Linked DNA regions of Medicago truncatula. Each later gene encodes a partner of the first gene's protein in a complex. Links are inferred from orthologs where the notes say so. Each region holds a gene or a part of one and is shown on either strand. Other genes may lie near its edges.

The links.
Region 2: the proteins of NADH dehydrogenase [ubiquinone] flavoprotein 1, mitochondrial (region 1) and NADH dehydrogenase [ubiquinone] iron-sulfur protein 4, mitochondrial are in contact, whole or in part, in a cryo-EM structure (PDB 8BED), measured with the Arabidopsis thaliana proteins. The link is inferred for Medicago truncatula from reciprocal best matches to the Arabidopsis thaliana genes CI51 and FRO1. Residues at the interface, in NP_196470.1 of Arabidopsis thaliana: Gly131, Arg132, Pro133, Glu237, Arg247, Leu248, Pro250, Pro251, Tyr259, Gly260, Cys261; in NP_201560.1 of Arabidopsis thaliana: Tyr140, Ser141, Phe144, Trp146.

What each region holds. Positions count from the first base shown.
Region 1 is NC_053042.1:16,131,396-16,141,520, forward strand, and holds the start of NADH dehydrogenase [ubiquinone] flavoprotein 1, mitochondrial, read right to left. Parts: upstream 4,686-10,125; 5' UTR 4,511-4,685; intron 3,058-4,510; 5' UTR 3,047-3,057; coding exon 1,595-3,046; 3' UTR 1,581-1,594; intron 1-1,580. UniProt on the Arabidopsis thaliana protein: Core subunit of the mitochondrial membrane respiratory chain NADH dehydrogenase (Complex I) that is believed to belong to the minimal assembly required for catalysis. Complex I functions in the transfer of electrons from NADH to the respiratory chain.
Region 2 is NC_053045.1:47,951,099-47,962,061, reverse strand, and holds the start of NADH dehydrogenase [ubiquinone] iron-sulfur protein 4, mitochondrial, read right to left. Parts: upstream 4,775-10,963; 5' UTR 4,688-4,774; coding exon 4,538-4,687; intron 4,136-4,537; coding exon 4,047-4,135; intron 3,453-4,046; coding exon 3,323-3,452; intron 1-3,322. Other genes in the region: telomere repeat-binding factor 2, read left to right, coding at 10,820-10,963.

The sequences.
Region 1 (10,125 bases):
TATTTTTGGTCAATAGCTAGAGTTTTGACATGTGACAAAAACAAAACAACCTAAACATAAAACTACCCACGATAAACTCTAGCACAGAAAAAGATAGAAATCATTACATACTATAGCTCCACATGGCATAGCTTTTTTTGAGTTAGACGCTACTTAATAATAATTAATGCTAAAACAAGAACTGTAGAAACAAAGCTAAAGTTTTGGTGATTGTTATTTTTCTGGGTTTCTTTTTTATGGTCAGAATTTGAGCTAAATAATAAAAGGTCTCCTACTTGATTTGAAAAGCTCCTTTCGACTAATTTCTGAAAAAGTTCTTTGCATCTAGTTCTTATAAATAAAAGAAAACCTCCTTTTATAATTAAGAATTTTCAAAAAAAACTGTTTGGCCTAACTTCTTCTTAAGAAGAAGAGAAGTCAAAAATAGGTCAGACCAAACACAATTTTTTACCCAAATATATCTTTTTATATTAGAACGTGTATTCCTATTAAAGCATATCACACAAACATAAATATATGAACAACATGGGAACTGAATGTTACACAAATCAAAGCTATGAAAAAGGAATATCCAATTCAGCCAGCCATATATGAATTTCTAAAATAATTCCAAATACAAGCCTCTAAGCAAAAGAAATGTGTTACTGCCCAGGAACTACTTTAAAAACTAACTTCCCATAAAATTAACCAAACCCTTCAAACTTTCTTTAAGCAGTCAAATTTAACAAGCTACATCCTTTTCTTTGACGGAACAAGCTGCACCCTTAAAATGAGATTTCAACACTAAACCAATTGTTGAGACTCGAGAGTCCCACATTAGATGTGATATGGCCTAAACAATGTTTATAAGTGGGAGGCATTCCTCCTATTACTGCTTGGGTTTGTGTGGTTGAGTTGAACTCAAGAGTTTGTCCTAAATCCAGTCGGTCACCTGTTATCAGGCCACGGATCATGCAAGTTAACTGCAATTTGGCCTAAACAATGTCTATAAGTGGGAGGCACCCCTCCCCTTACTACTCGGGTTTGTATGGTTGAGTTAAGCTCGAGAGTCTGTCATAAATTCATTAGGTCACACGTTATCGGGCCACACGGATCACGCTCCAGATGCGCAGACATGGTCGTGAGGGATGGTTTTGTTGAAAGTCCTGCATTGGATGAGATATGGCTTGAAAAGGTGTTTATAAGGGGGAGACATATTTCACCTTACCAGCCGGCTTTGTGAGACTGTTAGACCTAACCCAAATTCTAAGATAAACATTCAACAGCTATGGTGTTTATAAGGAGGAGACATATTTCACCTTACCCACCGGCTTTATGTGACTGTTAGACCTAACCCAAATTCAAAGATAAACGTTCAACAGCTATCACTTCATAGGAATAACATACTACCATAGTAACAAGCTCTCACATTTAAGTTTTCCAAAGGCATCTCTCATACCTATCTAAACAACTAACATATTAATGTCTGATCCTTCAATTTAAGCTAAATATATTTTTTCATCTATATACCCATGTGTTTATGAGCTATTTTAGTAAATGGGATTAAAAGCAAAATGAGGGTAAATAATTTAGTGAACAACCTTGGTCTAGGCCTCTAACCAGTGGCCTGCAGCAACTCCCTCTGTGCATTCTCTTTAATCCTTCTCTCAAGCTCGGGCCTGAAATGCCTGATAAGTCCCTGCACTGGCCATGCAGCAGCGTCACCCAAGGCACAGATTGTGTGCCCTTCAATTTGCTTAGTCACCTCCTGAAGCATATCAATTTCTTCTAGCTTGGCATTACCAACTTTCATTCTTTCCATGATCATCCAAAGCCATCCTGTTCCCTCCCTGCATGGTGTGCACTGCCCACAGCTTTCATGCTTGTAGAAGTACGAGAGCCTTGCAATGGCATCCACAACATCAGTAGACTTATCCATCACAATCACAGCTGCAGTCCCCAACCCTGACCCAACAGCCTTCAACGCATCATAATCCATCAGAACATCATCACATACATGTTTTGGAATCAGTGGAACAGATGATCCTCCTGGAATAATAGCAAGCAAATTGTCCCATCCTCCTCTAACACCTCCACAGTGCCTCTCAATCAATTCCTTCAGTGGCATACTCATTTCCTCCTCAACAGTGCAAGGCTTGTTCACATGTCCTGACACACAATACAACTTTGTCCCAGCGTTGTTCTTCCTACCAAAACTGGCAAACCATTCTGGCCCACGCCTTAAAATGGTTGGAGAGACAGCTACGGTTTCCACATTTGTGACAGTGGTGGGACAACCATACAATCCTGCATTGGCTGGGAAAGGAGGCTTCAATCTTGGTTTACCTTGTTTCCCTTCAAGGCTCTCCAAGAGAGCTGTTTCCTCACCACAAATATAAGCTCCAGCACCATAGTGGATATGAACATCAAAATCATAGCCTGAGCCACAAGCATTCTTACCCAAAAGACCAGCTGCATAAGCCTCTTTCCTAGCCTTTTCAAGATTTAAACGTTCATTCACATATTCACCCCTGATGTAGATGTAAGCAGCAGTAGCCCTCATTCCCACTCCAGCAATTAAGCAACCTTCTAACAACTTATGTGGGTCGTGGCGCATGATTTCCCTGTCTTTGCAGGTGCCAGGTTCACTTTCATCAGCATTAACAACAAGGTAAGAAGGACGACCATCAGATACTTTTGGCATAAATGACCATTTAAGGCCAGAAGGAAAACCGGCACCACCACGTCCGCGGAGACCAGACTTCTTCATTTCATTAACGATCCAATCAGTACCCTTAATTACCAAATCTTTAGTGCGATGCCAATCACCACGTTTCATGGCACCTTTCAGGAAAGGATCATGCAGCCCATACAAGTTGGTAAAAATCCTGTCCTCATCCTTAAGTCCACCAAAATGGGTTTTCTCTGGAGGTGGAGGTGGTGGTGGAGGCTGCGGAGTACTTGCAGTTGAGGCACCCTGAGTGCTAAATAATCTAACACCAAGACCCAACTTTTCGCTATGTTGTCGAACCAACACTGCCCTCTTTAAAGAAAGAATGCCCCTCATGGTTATCCAACCTGAAAATAATTTCAAGTTTCCAAACAAAACATTTAAGTTAATCAATGCAAACCAAATTGTCCAGAGCTAAAAATAGTCAAATAAAACAATGCTACAAAAATTGGCTATCAACTTTTGGGCTAAACAATAAGATCAGAGCACGTGAGTCAAAAAACAAGTTTACCCACTTAGGCCCTGTTTGGATAAACAGTTTATATCACAAGCACTTATTATGATAAGCGCTTATGTATAAGCTATTTCTAAAGTAAAAAGGTAAAATAAAGTTAAATTGTTTTCGTATAAGCTGGTTTTATAAGCTATCTTGGAGAACTTGTGAAAATAAGCTAAAAACAACTTGTGAACAATGTCATAAGTTTCCCCCAAACAGTCTTACAAAACTTATGTTAGTAGATAAGCTCAAATAAGTCGATCCAATTAGGCCCTTGGTCGTTATCAGAGTTCAGACCGAAAAAAAAAGAAAAAAAAAAACAATTTGGGTTAATCAATTCAAACCAAATTGTCCAAAGCTAAAGATAGTCAAATAAAACATTACAGTTCAAATTTATTTTTTTTAAGAGGACAATAAATTAAAATTGACTATTAACTTTACGGCTATCCAATAAAATCAAAGCACATGAATCAAAATTCAGACCTCAAAAGACAAACTTCCAAATTACCAATTAGTTATAGGCCATAATTGGATAAATAACTTACTTAAGTGTTTATAGCAACACTTATCGTATAAGTGCTTATGCATACACTACTTCTACAACAAAAGCTAAAACAAAACCATAAGTTGTTTTCATAAGCTATCTCAAAGAGCTTATGGACATGTGATAGGCTGTTTCCATAACCTCTTGAAACAATCTCGCAAGTTTTTATGACAGTAAATAAGCTCAAATAAGTCAATCCAAACACACCCATAACCAGAGTTCAGACAACAACAGAGTCTTATCCCACTAAATGAGGTCGGCTACATGGATCAAATTACCCATAATCAGAGTTCAGAGACCCAATTGAAAAATCAAAAGCATAAACTTAAAACACTCAACAACTTTTTGATTCATAACATGCCATATTAAACAAAAAATCCAACAAAACAACCTCCATCAAGCCCCACACATTCAATCCCAACCCAATTCAATCAGATGTAAACTAAATCAATAAATAAATACAAAAAATGGATTTTGGGAAGATTACTGAAACCCTAACAAGAACAAAAAGCGTTGGGGGTAATCTGTATCTACAAATCTAGGAAGAAATAAATTGTGGGTAAGATTGAAATGCACGTGAATTGCAAGCTTGAATGTGTTTATACCAAAAATTGAATGAAAACTAAATTAAAATTATAACATAGATTTGAGCTTAAGCTTAAAAGTAAAAGAATTAGCGTAAATTAAGATAAGGATAAATGGGTTAAGAATAAGATGAAAAAAGAATGAGAGGATGTGAAATTGAAGATGAAGGATGTACCTGCGGATCTAAGAAGTGTTGGAAATGGAGAACCTTGTTGTTCTTCTTCTTGTTTTGTTTTTTCGATTTAGCTTTTTGTTTGGTAGAAAGAAAGAAATAACACGAGTTGGGTTGTTTGAACTTTGGGCTTTTGTTTAGCCACGTTGCATACTTATGAAAAGAGGTTATGGAGATTTAAATGATGAAAGAGATAATTAGCAACAACCAAAAAAATTGATCAAGGGTATGTTTGTATTGACTTGTAAAATCAGCTTATTTATAGCTTATACGAAAAATAATTTAACTTTATTTTAGTAAGAGTATGACCAACGCTTTTTTAACATTCTCTTTAATATTGTCTATCTTATTGTATGAAATCAATGTGGTTTGTTTACTTTGAAAATGAGACTCACATAAAATGGTAGAATTTATATTGATTTCACTCGATAAGAGAGTGGATGTTATAAAGAGTGTTGTTAGCACTGCTTTTATTTTAGTTTTTGCAATCAAAATAGCTTATACATAAGTGTTAATACTTGTGTGAATTTCATCTTTCAATGTGAATCCATGCGGAGACGGCCTTTGGGAATTCGCATACAAAGAAGTTTTTTCTGTGGGGATGTGGATGAGGGAGAAAGTTCCTTTGAGGGTAGTGCGAGTATAGCTGTCAAAATAGGCTACCTGACTTGTCTAGAGCCTTCGGGCCTTATCAGGTCGGACCAAAAAAACCTATTGAAAATATGGGCTTGAAAAAAAAACTATCCGAGTTTGGCCTTATAGGGGACGACCAATATTTTTTGAAAAAGTTAAACTAACCCCTCAAATTGACACCAAAGAGAATCGAACCTGAGACCTTGAGGAGGAGCACACTCCCAGATCCCAAGCCAATACTACTAGACCAACCCAAGTGGTATTGTTAATGTTTCAATGTGGGACTTCAACTTCACTTATATTATGGTATAACATATCTCTTTTACAAGCTACTAAGCACAAACATGATGTAAAGCTTTAGGATATTTTGTTACTTCTCAACGTAATCCTCTTCTTTTTTTTAATGAAGAAATATTGAAGTATCATGTTTCATACATGATATTACCATGATGTGTTTGAACTCTTTAGTTAAACTGGAGAGTTTTTTAAGTGTGTGATTGTTAAGTGTTAAATATAATTAAATAGTTATATTTGAGCAATAACAAATTTATTTACCTTAATGGTATTCATAATAATTATAGATATTGTTTATAGCTTTCATGTGACACGATTTTTAAACCAAAAAGATAATCATAACTTAAGATTTTGTCACAAAAAAAGTTAATATGAGTAGTATAAAAGCAACTTAGATACAATGAGCATAAGTGTATATCAAGCTATCTCATTAACAAAGACGAGTCAAATTATATTTAGCTCAAGTTGAACGCATTTATTTAACGAGCTTAATTTTTATGTCAAATGCAACAGAGTTTATTTGTTTGTTCTCAATAAGATCTATATATAAGCAAATTTCTACATAAGATATGGTAAATATCAATTCTCAGAGCTCTCAATAACAATTGGTTCTTTGAAAACTTCTCACTCTAAAGACATGTTCACAGATACCTTAGAGATACTTGTGAAACATTTATTCATAATTTGCTCAAATTACAATTTCATATTAATCAGTTCACCATAATAATAGTAATATATTTCTGTTTAATGATTTTTCATGTACCATTAGTCCTGAATTTAAATAGTAAGCAAATTCAAGCTGCATATATAGCTTCAAAATGTTGAAAAGAAAACACAACATAGGCTGATTTCATAAAGGATAATTTCATTGATAAATAATAAGGAAGAAAGCAGGGCATAGGTAGCAAACAACATCCATTGATCATCCAATTCCATTTGGAATTATGAACTTAATATTGTTGGAACAAAATTGATTTGTACAATTCCTCTAAGGTTTTGATGATAACAAAGTATTGACGAACAATTGGATATATTAATATTTGTTCAAATGTGCAGGATCATAGAACATATCCATCAAGAGATTGAACATATATTAAAGCGTCGGAAGCACAAGAGAAGCTTAAAAGAATATGGTAGAAGATCTGAAGAAAGGTCAACCGAAAGTCAACATCTTGGATTAGAAGAAAATGACGTCTCTCAGAAGCCGAAGATCAACCTCATTAGACTCGATGAAGATCATCAGACTCGAAAGACCCCTAGACTCAACAGATCGTGAGGGACCCATACTCCACGTCAGATTTGTCGTCTTCTATAGCTATCTCCATCAAAGGATCTGAGTATAATTTTGTCTTCTTCTGATCACGTGTAGAAACAAATAAAGGACTTCAAGGACAAAGAGAATGAAAATATACTTCTAGTTTCAACAAAGGATTTTCGAATGACTATCCAACAAAATTATTCAAATTAGGCAATGGCCCAACATCCTTGATTTGAAGCTTCTCAATGACTCTTAATGTGCTAACACTCTTATTCAATGTCTTTCAAATCCCTGCCTATATAAGCAGCTAAATGGTTAGACAATCTAATATTTATGTATGATAAATCTTAAAATTTATATCAGATCTCCTCACACTTCAAATTAAGGTGATATGTTGAAACGGAAGAGAACTCCAGTCTATCAGTATGTTAGGCGTAGTCTTTAAGTCATGTGAGTATGAAGGTTTATATTATAAGGTATCTATGACAATATTTGTGTACATATGGTCACAAATGAGTAAAAGCATAATTTATACATACATAGTTAGTATAGAGTATGAGATGTAAATATGTATTATAACCTACATTAATAGTAGATGACAGGAGTTCTGAAATCACACATCAAATAATTTGCAATAATATAGTTAACTTTGATTAAATTATGATAAAATATAAATAACACTACGATAAAAACATGTAGACTTACAGATCGGTAGTAAAGATTAGGCTTAATTGCAGTTTCGACACTCTATGTTTCAAGAAGTTGCGATATTGGCCCCCTAACTAAATAAACTACAAAACCGCCTCCTAAGTATTGACTTTTTTGCAGTTTTGGCCCTCCAGACCAATTTTAACAAAGTCAATGCACACATGGACGCCACCTTAAAATGCAAAGGTCTTTAGAAATCAACAAAACAGAAAGAAAAGTAAAATCCTAAAATGCAAAGAACAAACCTCTTACAAATCATCTATCGAAAAAATACCTCAAAAGCAAAGCTCAAACCTTTTAGTAATCAATGAAATGAAAAATTAAATTATAACCGTAAATGCTAGGTTAAGTGGCTTGGACAAATCATGCATCTGAAAAAGGAAAATAATAGTTCAAATGCAAGACTTTTATGAAATAAAATAAAAAATATGTCATGCATGGTTTGAGATATATAGAAAAAATGGTATTGATAAAAAAGAATGGAAGCTAACATCAAGAAATATTGAAGTTGAACGAGTTGAAGAACTTCAACTTTAGTAAAGAAGAAAGAAATGATGAAGAAGATGTGAAGGAGGGAAATCAAAGACATGACAATGACATCATCAGTAGATGTAGAACTCTAACTTCGAAATCACCCATATTACTTTACGAATATGCCCTTGTTGAGGGTAAAATTGTATTTTCTTATATATTCTTAGATGGTTAGTAAATTTTTAGAGCATATCAGCTTGGCGTAATGAGTGGCAGCTGTTGGTGCAACATCATGAAGATGTTTATGTTCATCTTAATTTTTATCCCAAATTCTATTTAACTTTGCAGACATTTGTGATTAAATTCTTCATAATTTTTCATATATAGATGTCCATTGTAAATTGCTACTCACTTTAGCTTCCAAGAGGATGTTTATTAATGTTATTTTTTATATTTTAAGGTTGTTTACTAATGTTGTAAACAGTTACTCTTTATTAGCTAAAACTTATAAAAATACATTCTTTCATATATTTTATATTCTAAATAAATTTTTTAAAAAGTCACGTGAATATATAGTAACCAAACATCTTACACAAACAAGAAATCAAAGTAATTATACGTGCTCATTAACCAAATTTGTTATATACCCTATAAAGATTTTTAAGAAATATTTGAACAAGTAGTATCCAACATATGGACAATATTCAATTATTTGTAAATCCATTCTTACTATATAATTTCATTGCATTCGCTACCACTACTAATCTAAAGTAGATTGATTTCTTTAAGTTGTAAAAACGATTTTACTGTTAACAAATACCTATGTGGTCAGTTTCAGCAACATTGGGGGAAATGTGTCGAGGAAAACCAAGAAAGACTGAGTTCAAAACAATTCATATCAGAGATGTTGTAACTCATTAACGTTATTTAATTATTGTTACTTTTTTTTAATTGTAATTATTAATAATTGGATACTAATGAATATATCTCCATGTTAAAAATATTATGGGACTAGAGACATACAATGACATATATCCTACTTTTGTGTATATTTTTGGTTAGGAAGTTTACCAAAACTAGAAGGCTTACGCATGCATTTACAAACATATTGTGATTTGGAATGGATCGTTGGATCAACAACTTATAACAAATGGATGGAGTGAGATTTGTGAATTTACAACTTATAATACCAGCGTCACGAGGTTGTTTTCTCCTCTTTTTGGGATAATATGTTTTTATTAAAGTTTTTGATCAACACAAAATGCATAGGAGGTTAATCCTAAAAATTAGGCATGTGCATATATTAGACATTACAAAAATTGATGCAAGTATAAAGTCACCAATTTCCAAAAAAGATTCTACCTTGCATTTTTTATTTTAAAAACATCCCTTCATCATTAACACTAGCGAAAAGACGGACACTCACGTGTTATTTTTTATTGCGATAACGTTTGAAAATTATGAATAGTTTTTTTTTATGAAATTTTGATTTTGATTAAAACTAAAAATATAAATGTTTGTTGCTTTTAAGTTATAACAAATCAACGAAAAACAAAAATTTCTTGAAAAAAATAATATTTTACAGGAGGGTGAATCAAAATAAAAATTTTACAGGGTGAAAACCAGAAATGACCTATATTACAGGGGGGTCAAGACCTATTAACCCTTTTATTTATATATAGTATAATTAAATAACATTGCATACAGGTTTGCAAATATTATAAAGTCTTGAGTTGATCATACATTTTCAAATGACTTTCCTTACTTTGTGATTAATGAAGAAATCATGTTGCTCATAAGTAACTTTTTCTTCTTTAATTTGATCGATTTAGAAGAGATCATGTTGCTTGTAAGTTTACAACAGGTAATTTTCCTTACTTTGAGATTATTGAAGAGAGCATGTTGCTTATTAATTTACGAATATTATCAGTTTAAATATTTTTTCTGATCGAATACCGAACGAAACCATTACTCACCTACCCTATTCTAACTCCTCCTAGTGGGCTTTGAACCCATAACGTTTGAGTTTAAGACTTGTCTTTTTCCATTATAATTTTTTTTTGACAAAAATAAAAGATATTCATTTATTCAAATTGATAAAGTACATCGATACAATACAAATTCAAATTCGCTAAAAACAAAAAGTATGAATATGTGAAAAAATCACAACATCCATGTTATTAACATAAAACGGCAAAATACCTATGCCTACAAATATGACTAATATGACTGTATTAAACACTCCAGAATATTC
Region 2 (10,963 bases), on another chromosome or scaffold:
CAACACCAACAATAACAATAACCGCTGTTAGCATATCATGGATAATCTGTTAGAAACGGTTTCCATATGTTGTATATTTCATAATTTTGTTTTCTTATTTAATTAGAATTAAGTGTCATCTACTGCATCTTATCACAACAAATCAATCAGTTTCAGAGTCTTCAGCTTCTGTTCTTTCTTTCCTTTTGTACCTAAATCCTTATAATTTCAACATGGTATCAATGCATTACCATCCTTCATGCATCATATAATGGGTTATTAGTCATTACTTCAGTGCCTAATCTTCACTGGCATCTCCTCCATGCTCTGCCTTGTCTTTATTTGAATGCAAACCAACCCCAAACTTATGCTCTAGATGCAGCTTGAACTTACAAGTTCGAGCCCTGGATGCAGTCTAGACCCTCAATCCCCCGCCCGTTTCTATAATTCTATTCCAAATGCATCGAGTCATATCTGCTCCAGATGCAGTCCAGCTTCATCTCATTCACAAAACTACATATAGAGACTTACCAAGTGGGCTTTTCTGTTGAGAAGCCTAATGCTTGAAAATTGAAAAAAAATTAAATGACTGACAAGCACAGTTCAATAATAAACTCCCCCAATCATCTGAGAAACAAGGTCTGCTGATCCCAGTTCTATAGACTGTGATTTCAGGTTAAGGCCAATTCTAACATGCACAAGTACAATAAGTGTTGCATCATGCCTAATATATATTTACCATCGGATCAAAGAAATCCATCATATTTAATAGTCCACTCTCTACAATGAATCTTTTTCTCTCTTCCTATCCTACCAGAGTTTTTTCTTTATCTCTGACATCCATTTTACCTCCCCAGTCAAACTTTCCTTCTCACTTCAATGGGTTCTGTTAAAGCGGGATTAATGTAATCGAGTCTCCCCACTTTCAGTCAATGGGTTTGAAATTTAGTTTCAGGGTGTAAATTGTGAGAAAAACACCATTTAAATTTCTGTTGAGGATGAATTGTTGGAGAAACATGACCCTCCCTCACTTCCTCAGTTTCCTCTATTTGAACTAGTTTCACTGTGAAGAAGTGATATTTTTTGTGAGCAACGTGTTTTAGGATTTGGGCATGAAGTTATGAGTCTGTCTGAAGAAGATGCAAAAAGGGACGAGGAGGATGATGGACAAATATCAAGGACTCAGATGTTATCAAGTGGGGCAAACATTTGAGGAGGTGGGAGTACGTGAGAAGAAAATCCAGTGTGATGAGTTTATGATAGATTTCGTGAGCCTCTATATCATTCAATCGTAAAAAAAAAATTAAATAAATAAATAAATAAAATTGTGTACCAAGCACAACCAAACTAGCTTGTGCACAGTAGAAGTTCTCTTAAGTTAATATCCTAACTGAGTCTCGAGCAAGAGAATGTGAACCAATCCACTTGATAATAGTTTACTTTAATATGAACAGTTATGAATCATAACTAAAGCACTTTGAAGGCTTAGAAGACACAGTTATTTGTGACCTCATTCCACTTTGGAGGTTTACAATCTCATTCTTCGTTTAGGCTAGCGATTGTCGTCTGGTTGTTTGAAGTCACAACCAATTGAGATCTTTAGTCTTCCCATCTTACAATTTATCTAGCCTCTGCTTTATCCGAAAATAACTTAAAGCACAACTATTACTTAGATTAAAACACTTCACATCTATTGCACAGAAGTCATACAGTAAAGTTATTCGTCCAGTTCATTCTTTTCTAGAGCAATGCTGGCGTCAAATGCTAAAACAAACTCTCGTGATCACACTCTTATTAATTGGACCACGTCATCCATATTTCAAACAATTTATTTGGCCACTTGTTACTCAGTTTCGCATAACATTTTTATTTTTTTTACTTTGGATTTCACAGTTACGAAGCAGTAGCAATTTGAAGGGTCTTCTCCATCCAACCACCACCACTATCCACCATTCTTTCTAATTAAAACCACCATCAACAACCACTCAAGTTCAAATTTGCAACGTAAGATCAAATAATTATAAAATTAACAAAAAAATTAACAGGTTGCATAAACCAAAGACAAAGCCAATTTGCATCAATTCCGATGGTTTCATAAATTGAAAATCTTTGAGTGGCTTAAGAGTACAAGGACCTGCTGAAGAAACAACCTCTGCTACTTCCACAATGGGAATCATTGTTTCGAATTTCTTAGATGGGTGTTTCTTTCGTGGATTCCTCTCCTGGTGATGGTGGGGCTTCTTCATGGATTGGATTTGATTTGGGTAGTGAGGATCTTAGGTGGGGTTGGTAGTTTTTAAAGGAGTTATGGTTATGGGTTGTAGCTCTGCTGAAGCAATAACCCAGTTGATTTTTTATTTTATTTTTGGAATAGAATGGGAAAGAAGTTGAACCTAGAAAGGTGGGGATCTAGAGTCCAAGGACCTGCAGTCACACATGGATGACTAAAGACCCCGAGCAACCGTTGGCCTCTTTTTTCCAGGAACAAAGTCATACAAAAATTAAAAATACACCAACTGGTTAAGCCAGTTAACAAGTTATAAGGTCGTCGCAGTGTATACAGGCGTGTGCTAAAAAGTGAGTGTCTGCGCGTTTGTATTTAGCATTTCTGTCTTTTCTATTACTAGCATAGCATTGACATGAGAAAGTTATAAGGTCTCAAGCTTAAATCCTCGTCCCAGGCACTCTCTAACCTCGGCTTTTGTTTCATAAGTGCTGTAGTCTCATCCTAGTCCTAGATGCAGAATGAGCTCAGTCTTTGTCCAAGACATGCTCTACCTTGTCGTTATTTGAATGCAAACCAACTCCCAACTTATGTTCTAGATGCAGCTTGAGCTTACCAGTCCTAGTCCTGGAAGTAGTTTAAACCCATCTCAGGTCAAGTCTATCCCTCATCTGTTTCTATTCCAGATGCAATCTGGCCATATCTGTTACAGATGCAGGCTTGCGCATCTGGCTTCATCTCATGCAGAAAATAATAGACTTATAAATTGAACTTTTTTATTTAGCAGCCTAATACTTGAAATTTTAAACGAAATTAAATGACTAACAAACACAGTAGCCACAGTTCAATGATAAACTCTTCATATCAGTTGAGAAGCAAGATATGCTGATTCTTGTAAGTTAGACTGCTCGGACAATATTGAAACCCTCATTCTATAGATTGTGATTTTAAGTTAATATCCTAGGCGAGACATGAGCAAGAGAAGGTGAACCAATCCATCTGATAATGGTTTACTTTAATAAGCACAAGTATGAAATTATGAATCATAACTGGAGCACTTTGAAGGCTTAGAAAAACATAAAATTTTATGTGACCTATGTTTGAATGGCAAAAACATACCACGTATTCCCAACCATGTCTCTCTGCAAATTCCTTTGCCGCTTCTTCAGTATCAAAATCCAACGCAGAATCACCAACATGGGAATATGGGTCTCCGGTGGATGTCCACCCCATCAGTGGATTTTCCCACCTATAGACATATTAGTTCACAGTACAAATTAAACTATTATTAGGTATTACAAATTTAACAATAAGATCAGTTAAAGAATTAAAGTATAAATTCAGGATATTATACTGAAACAACTAGCAACTCCTTAAACTACTTAGAGATGCCCAGGAAGAATCATAACATATGTAAAATAACATAGTGATTAAAACTCTGAAAATTTCCACATGTGCAGGAAATGTAATGTCAATGATAGCATAAGTTCCGCTTTTATGAATGAATTTCGATAAGAAATTTGTCAAAAATCGAGATATATGGACAACAGGGAAATGCATCCTCTCCATTTTTTTTCTCTCAAATTTTCTTAAGTTTCAAATCTCAACTCTTCATTATTATAAATTTCAAAACTCTTCACCCATTATATTTCAATGATATAGATATTCCACATTATTTCCTAGTGTTTTTCCTACATGAGAGAATCCTAATCCAGACAACAGATATCCAGCGCAGAAACATCAAACTTGTTAGGGAAAAATAATAAATAATTCGAGTTCTAAAACTAGTAAAACAATATCTAAACAAGCAGTGAAAGAAAAATGATAAACAGAGAGAATTTACTTCTGGGTTGATAAGAAGTTGATCCTCCATCTTCCAACATTCCCAGATCCTTGTTGACCAGCAGTTCTAGCAGGTGAGTAAATCAAAACCTGCCATCACATTGCAAGTATAAGCTAAACGCCTAATTGAATTTCAATTGTTAACAGGTGTTTAACAGGTCAATTATTTTTTTGTCTTTAAATGAAGTGATAAACACCACCTAAAACTCACGCAGACAACTGCAAAGTCCCGGCTTGGAACCCGGGTGAAGGTGTCCAGCCTGACAATATCGGCATTGCCGGTTAAGCTAAGTCCATTACATAGGATCTAATGATGCATCAATTATTTTGCAAAATTTCAACAAAACAAAACTTCAATTGAATCTAAAACAATTATACTACATATAAAAAATAAAAACTTTTATTCTACCATAATAATGAAACAAATATAATAAAATTGGGGAATGAAAAACCGGAAGAAAAAAAAAAAACGAAAAATTTAAAGCATAATACCCTTCTACGAAGGTGTTCTTGTGGGATTCCAGAAACCAAACCGATCTCGCCGGGTTTGGACTCAACCAATGCATCAGTGGAGAACCGGCGGATGAGGGTGGCGCGTAGGGAACCACCGCGACTCGCCGTGCGTAGCAGGATGTTCGTCATCGTTTGATGGGAATTTTGATTCTGCGGAGGATGGTGCCAAAGACAAAATGAACCTCCCGAGCCTTTCTCGTTCGCTTTTGTTCCGATAAATTTTTAGCTTGGCCCTTTTACTTTTACATTTTACAAATTTTCCCTTTCTTAAGAGTGCTTTTTAAAATTTTAAATGGTAGCAATAATATATATTAAACATTATTATAATATATTAAAATTACTATAACCATAATATAACTCTCTCCGATCAACATTTCACTTTTTAAATTCCTTGTATAACTAATATATTTGATTTATATTACAAACCGAATATATTAGTTATTCAAAAAATCTAAAAAATCATTTTTTGTTTATAATAGAGTCTGAAGGGAGCATATTAAAAGAACGTCTTTGTATGAATGAAGGATTGTGTATTGTTAATAGGTTGATAATAAATAACATAAAAAAGTATATAACTAACAAATATGTTAGTGATTCTAAATTTAACTAAAATATGATATTTCATGATCAATTAATTATTCATCTTTTTCTAAAGTTCTAGGTCGGTCTTTGCTGGCCTTAAAATCATTGGAATGCACAACAAGTGTAATATGTCATATATAACTTGTAATGATACGGGCCTTAGAAGACAAACTAAAACATTATGGATTATCCACTAAGGAAATCGACTTTAAAAAGAGAAAATACACCCGATTGTGAAGTATGAATGAAGAGAATTTATGATGTGTCCATTTTAGCATAACAAAATGACATAGTGTAGAAACTGAAAACAACCCCAATGTCATCCCAAAAAACTAACACACCAACATATAAGGAGTTTATAAGCACTGACATGCTTCTAACACCAAGGAGCGTATATCAAATAAATATGTGTAAGTGGCTATCTTGATAATTTTTTACGGTGACAAACAACACATATCTAGTAACGACCTCAACAATCACTAGAGTGAAAATAGTAACAAGATTAAGTGTATATGAGTGCATATAATATATAAATAAGGGGTTCACCCCTAAGTATGATGACTTGTTATCCGTTTTCATATTCGTGTCAAGGTATGTCTTATCTTACTTTGGCATCATGGTGTCTTTGCAAGTACACCTTCCTCGCCTGAAGAAGGAGCGTATGACTAGAGATGTGAAGATTACATCATCGACTTTGATGATCCATTTTGTGTGTTCACGCGTGAACATTGACGCCCACTGTGGAGCCCTCAGTAAGATTTACCAATGCATTAGGATCCCATTATTATGCCGGTTACAAAATGTCTAACATGGTGACTCTAATGTCTAACATGGTGGATCCATAAACTAGAAATTCACCATTCAATAGGCAAGTCAACTGATACAAAAGTTTCCTTTATCGGTGTTTTCCATCTCCAAGAAGACACGAAGTAGAAGGTCCCAAAAACCATGACGCGTCACCGCCTCGATGACATTGTCATAAAGAACAAACACTAGATAACACCATGTATAATATGAAGGCCCACAAGAAGAAAATGGTCTTAATCAAGAAAAATAAAAAAAACAACGGAGTAGTTCATCCGCGAAAGACAACGACTATGATAACATAAAACTCCTTTCGAATTGCTTTATGATCTTTATGCAATGACTCATGTTGTTTATCTAATCAATATATTACCCATTCCTATTTTGCAAAATCAGACTCCTTTTGAAATGGTGTATGATAAACCTCTGACTTTTCTGTTTCTACCTTGGAACAACATTGTACTAAAATTGATCCACGAGCAATAAAATGGATCTTCTTGAGATTCAAATTTGGTACAAAAGGTTATCTTGTCTTTGATCTATCTACTAGATAAGTTTTCATTACAAGAAATGCTATTTTTTCATGAATCTACTTTTGCTTATGTTGAAATTATTGATTATTTTTCTTAGTATTGATTGTACAAATCCAAGATTATTCAATTTTTCTGTTCAATGACCTTGTTGATTCTGCATAATGCACCAAAACAAATTACACTAAACCCATCTCTAATCCTTGAACTTCAGACCTACCATAACTTGTGACCTTTCATCGTAAAATATTCTCAATCCTTACCAAAAACTAACTTTTGACACAACCAAACTCAGACGATCCACTAAAACTATAAAGGCTCTTAACTGTCTCTAAGATTTTCATTGTCATCGTGAAACTCAACTATCCTCTTATACACCCAATTTGATGTATCTTTTACACTTTGTACTATCTTATCATAAATTATTTCTATCTAATCTTCATTACACATTTTCCATTTCCAATGCTATTGAACGCAAACCTATAAGTAGGCTATCAAATTACAAAAAGGGATTAATGCCATGACCAACAAACTTCGAGCCATTACAACTAAAAATGCTTGGTCACTAACCGCCTTATCTAAAGATAAAGTTGTGATTGGTTGCAAATGGGAGTATCGTATCAAACATAAAGTTAATGGCACTATAGAACGCTTTAAAACATTCCTTATGGTCAAAGACTACACTCGACAAGAAGGGGTAAACTCTCTTGATACCTTCTCACTTGTTGCTAAAATAACTATTGTATGTCTTTTACTTTCCATTGTAGTTGCTAAAGGAAGGATTCTTCAACAATTGGATGGAGTTGGCATCAGGTCTCATGCCTACCTCTTCTAATCAAGCATGTTGTCTCAACAAACCCCCTTTTGGTCTATGTCAAGCAAGTAGGCAATGGTTTATTAAATTGTCTTCTGCAATTATCATTATTGGATACCATCATTCAGAATATGATCACTCCTTGTTAATCAAATCATCTTCTCATTCCTTCACTATTCTGCTAGTTTACGTAGACGACATTGTTCTCACAATGAACTCCACATAAATCAATGTTATTAAAAGTCTTTTCTATTCATCCTTTTGCATCAAAGACGTAGGTAATCTCAAGTTTTTCCTTGGTCTTAAAGGTTCTCGTACCAACAAAAGAATTCACTTATGCCTATGTAAACATGCCTTAGGCATCACGGCCTCTAAATCTTTCCCCACTGATTGCGACCTCACTTGCAAAATTGGTCGTCTAACGCCCCCATCGAAAGTCACTATGATATCTTTGTATTTTGGTCACTTCATCGCCAACCAGTTTAAGATCTAATGTATTTGCTAGTGTTTTTATCGTTGTGTTTCTTTGCTTTTGTTTTGCTGTTATTTTTAGTTTATTTCAAGTTTGTAATACCCTAACTTTGTTCATTTTTTTATATTAATCTATTTTGTTCTCTTATAAAAATTGATAAATAATAACACTCATTAGATTTCAGTCATAAAATAAATAACATTCATTGGATTAATTTTATTATACAAGTCTCTTGTTTTGATTCAACTTAAGTACAATAAAAATACAAGATTTTGGATTACAAGCTCAAGGTCACAAATTAAAATTCAAAATACTCTGTTTCTTGTATTAATAATAATCTCATGATAAAACAGAGTTATAATATAAAAATAAAAATGACAAAAATAGGAAAGATATAAAATGAAAACAAAATACAGAAAAACTGTCTCACTAGTTGAGAAAGAAAAAACAAAGATAAAAAACTATGGCAAAGTATATGCATCGTATCCTTCCTCTTGACTCTTGAGGGCTCCTCCCAATTTATCTTTTTTCAATTGCTCTTTTCTTTTCCCTTTTTGAGCCGTTGTACCTTTGCTCATTGCTCTACATTTTCTGAAAATCACCAACTTTGCATTTTTGTCCTCTTCCTCCTAGCTACTTTATACTAATTTTTGGGTATAAATATATGAGACAAAATCAGAATAATGGAGACGAATTTTTTTGCTACCTGAATCACTGAAAAAAAAAAGAAAGTGGATAGAGGTAAGCTTCTCAATATTCATCATGTGTTGCTACTTGTTACTCTTATCACAGTTTCATCGTTACATTTTTGTAGCTCTCTAGCACTTGTTCCTTTGTCTTTCTTCTCTGATAGTAGACTATGTTATGTGTGTGTATGTTTCATCGTTTGCAATCAATTTTTTTTCCTGCTTATTTATCAATTTATCATCAATTTACTAAGTTGTAATTTTATACGAGTAACTAACAAGAGATCTATATCTATGAAATATATCAGTTGATAAAGACAAATCATTATTATATGTAAGTGTCGGTGTTTAAAATCCGAACACACGTTTATTCATTTTAAAAAGTGAATCCTATCCGATAAATTATTTGACCAAATAAGAGATATTAGAGGGCATTCTTGCAATTTGGATAAATTATATTCGGAATAAATGACAAGGGTATAGAATATTTTCAGAGGTTAAGTTGATAAAACAAAATGAAGACACACAATTGGGTTGAATAGAACACATTCTTTCTCTTTCTCTGCCGTTTTGCAAATTCATTCGGATTTTTCGATTTCTGTTCCTCAAATGCTTCAACTTTTCGCAATTCTCTTCATCGCCCAGTGATTAGGTACACACCTAACCGATTCTTCTATAATTTTTTGACCCTTTCGTTTTCCCTCAAAGAAAGTTTCAATTTTTGCCTTTTTTTTTTGTTGGTTAGAAGTATAATCTGTTCTTTCTCTTCCCACTTGAATGCATGTGGCTGGTTTTGTTGTTTTGAATGTGTTTCTGATTTTCTAACTCAATGTTGTTTTTTTCTTAATGGGTGAGCTTAAAGGGAAAAGCTTTTCATTTTTCAATGCAATTTTTGTTTGATTGATTTATGAAATTTAAAAATGAGAAATTAAAATCCCTAACGTTTGCATTTTGATGCAATGCATAATTGTAGGTTTTTCCAGGTTGTGTTCAAATTTCTACCTTTATTTTCATAAAGGGCTAATTGCATTTTTCAATACTGATTGTAAAAATGTTCTATATGCATATTACAATGTTATAACTTAGGTTACTCTTTGCCAGCCAAATATTACAAATTATTGGTTGCTTGAATCTGTGGAGTTGTTATGTAAGGGTGTGTTTGCGAGTTGGTTTTTGGAGGGTTTTGAAGGGGGAGGGCTATGTCTATATTTTCATACATATTTGATATAGACGTAGCCCTCCAAACCCCTGCCCTCTAAAAACCTCCAAAACCAAAAACCAACTCTCAAACATAGGATATAGATATAGAATGGTGATTATTTAGATTGATGGTTAAAAGTTGTTATAGTCTTATAGAAGTTAGTTAGCTGGGATTGTTATAGGGTTGTTACTCCCTTTGTCCAGTAATAAGTGACTCTTTTGTAAAAAAAATATTGTCCTAAAATAACTGACCCATTTCAGTTCTCAATGCAATATTAATTACTTTTTTTTCAATTATAACTCTAATTAATACTACTGTCATCACTCCCAATTTAATATATTCTTTTTTGCATCTATGATAATGGTAAATGCACCAATACTTGACAAAAACATTCAAAACCATTTTTCTCTCTCATTCACTTAGTATACATTTTTCTTAATATGTGTGAAATGACCAAATGGGTCACTTAATTTAGGAAGGAGGGAGTAGTTAGTTGGTTAGTTGAGGTTGTTATAGGACTATTTGTATAAATAGGAGAAACAATGTAGAGTTGATCATTATTGAATATTGTAAACAGTGTGAATCGAGTAGTAACTCTATTGTGAAGGGGAATCCCTTGAAGGAGAGATTTATCTCCCTATTCTTTCCTATTTTTTCTTAATAAAAGTGTTCTTTCTTAGGAATCCAATTCTTGGGTTCCTAACATCTTCTCTTCTCTTGTTTTTACATTTATGAAGCACCAACACAACACCGACGCGGCGACACCTATACTCTGAGAAATAGAAGTAATTGAAAGTAACAACATGTGTTCGTATTGCACATGTTAGACACCAGATACACCTTCAATCTGACGTGTTGGTGCTATATCGGTTAACATTGGGTTGGGTTGTTGGTGGATGTGATTGAAGTGAATTTGGAACTAAGGTCAATGTTTGGGATGAGTAATATTTACTTAATTATATTTATTGGTTATTATAAACATAGAAGAGTCACATTTTGACTTTTTCTTTTCTTTTCATTTTGATGTTTATTGTTGGTCAACTACTAATTGTAAAGTTTTTTTTTAATGCAAAGATGCACATATAGAGAAGGGGAGTACTGAAATTCCAAGCTTTCCTCAACCCTAGAAGCAAAGATTAAACTGTCACAAAAAAACTGTCGGATTTCCTTCCATGGGTGCTCCTAAGCAGAAATGGACTGCAGAAGAAGAAGCAGCACTGAAAGCTGGAGTAGTCAAACACGGGGCTGGAAAATGGCGCACAATACTTATGGATCCCGAGTTCAGTTCCATTTTGCGTACGCGTTCGAATGTAGAT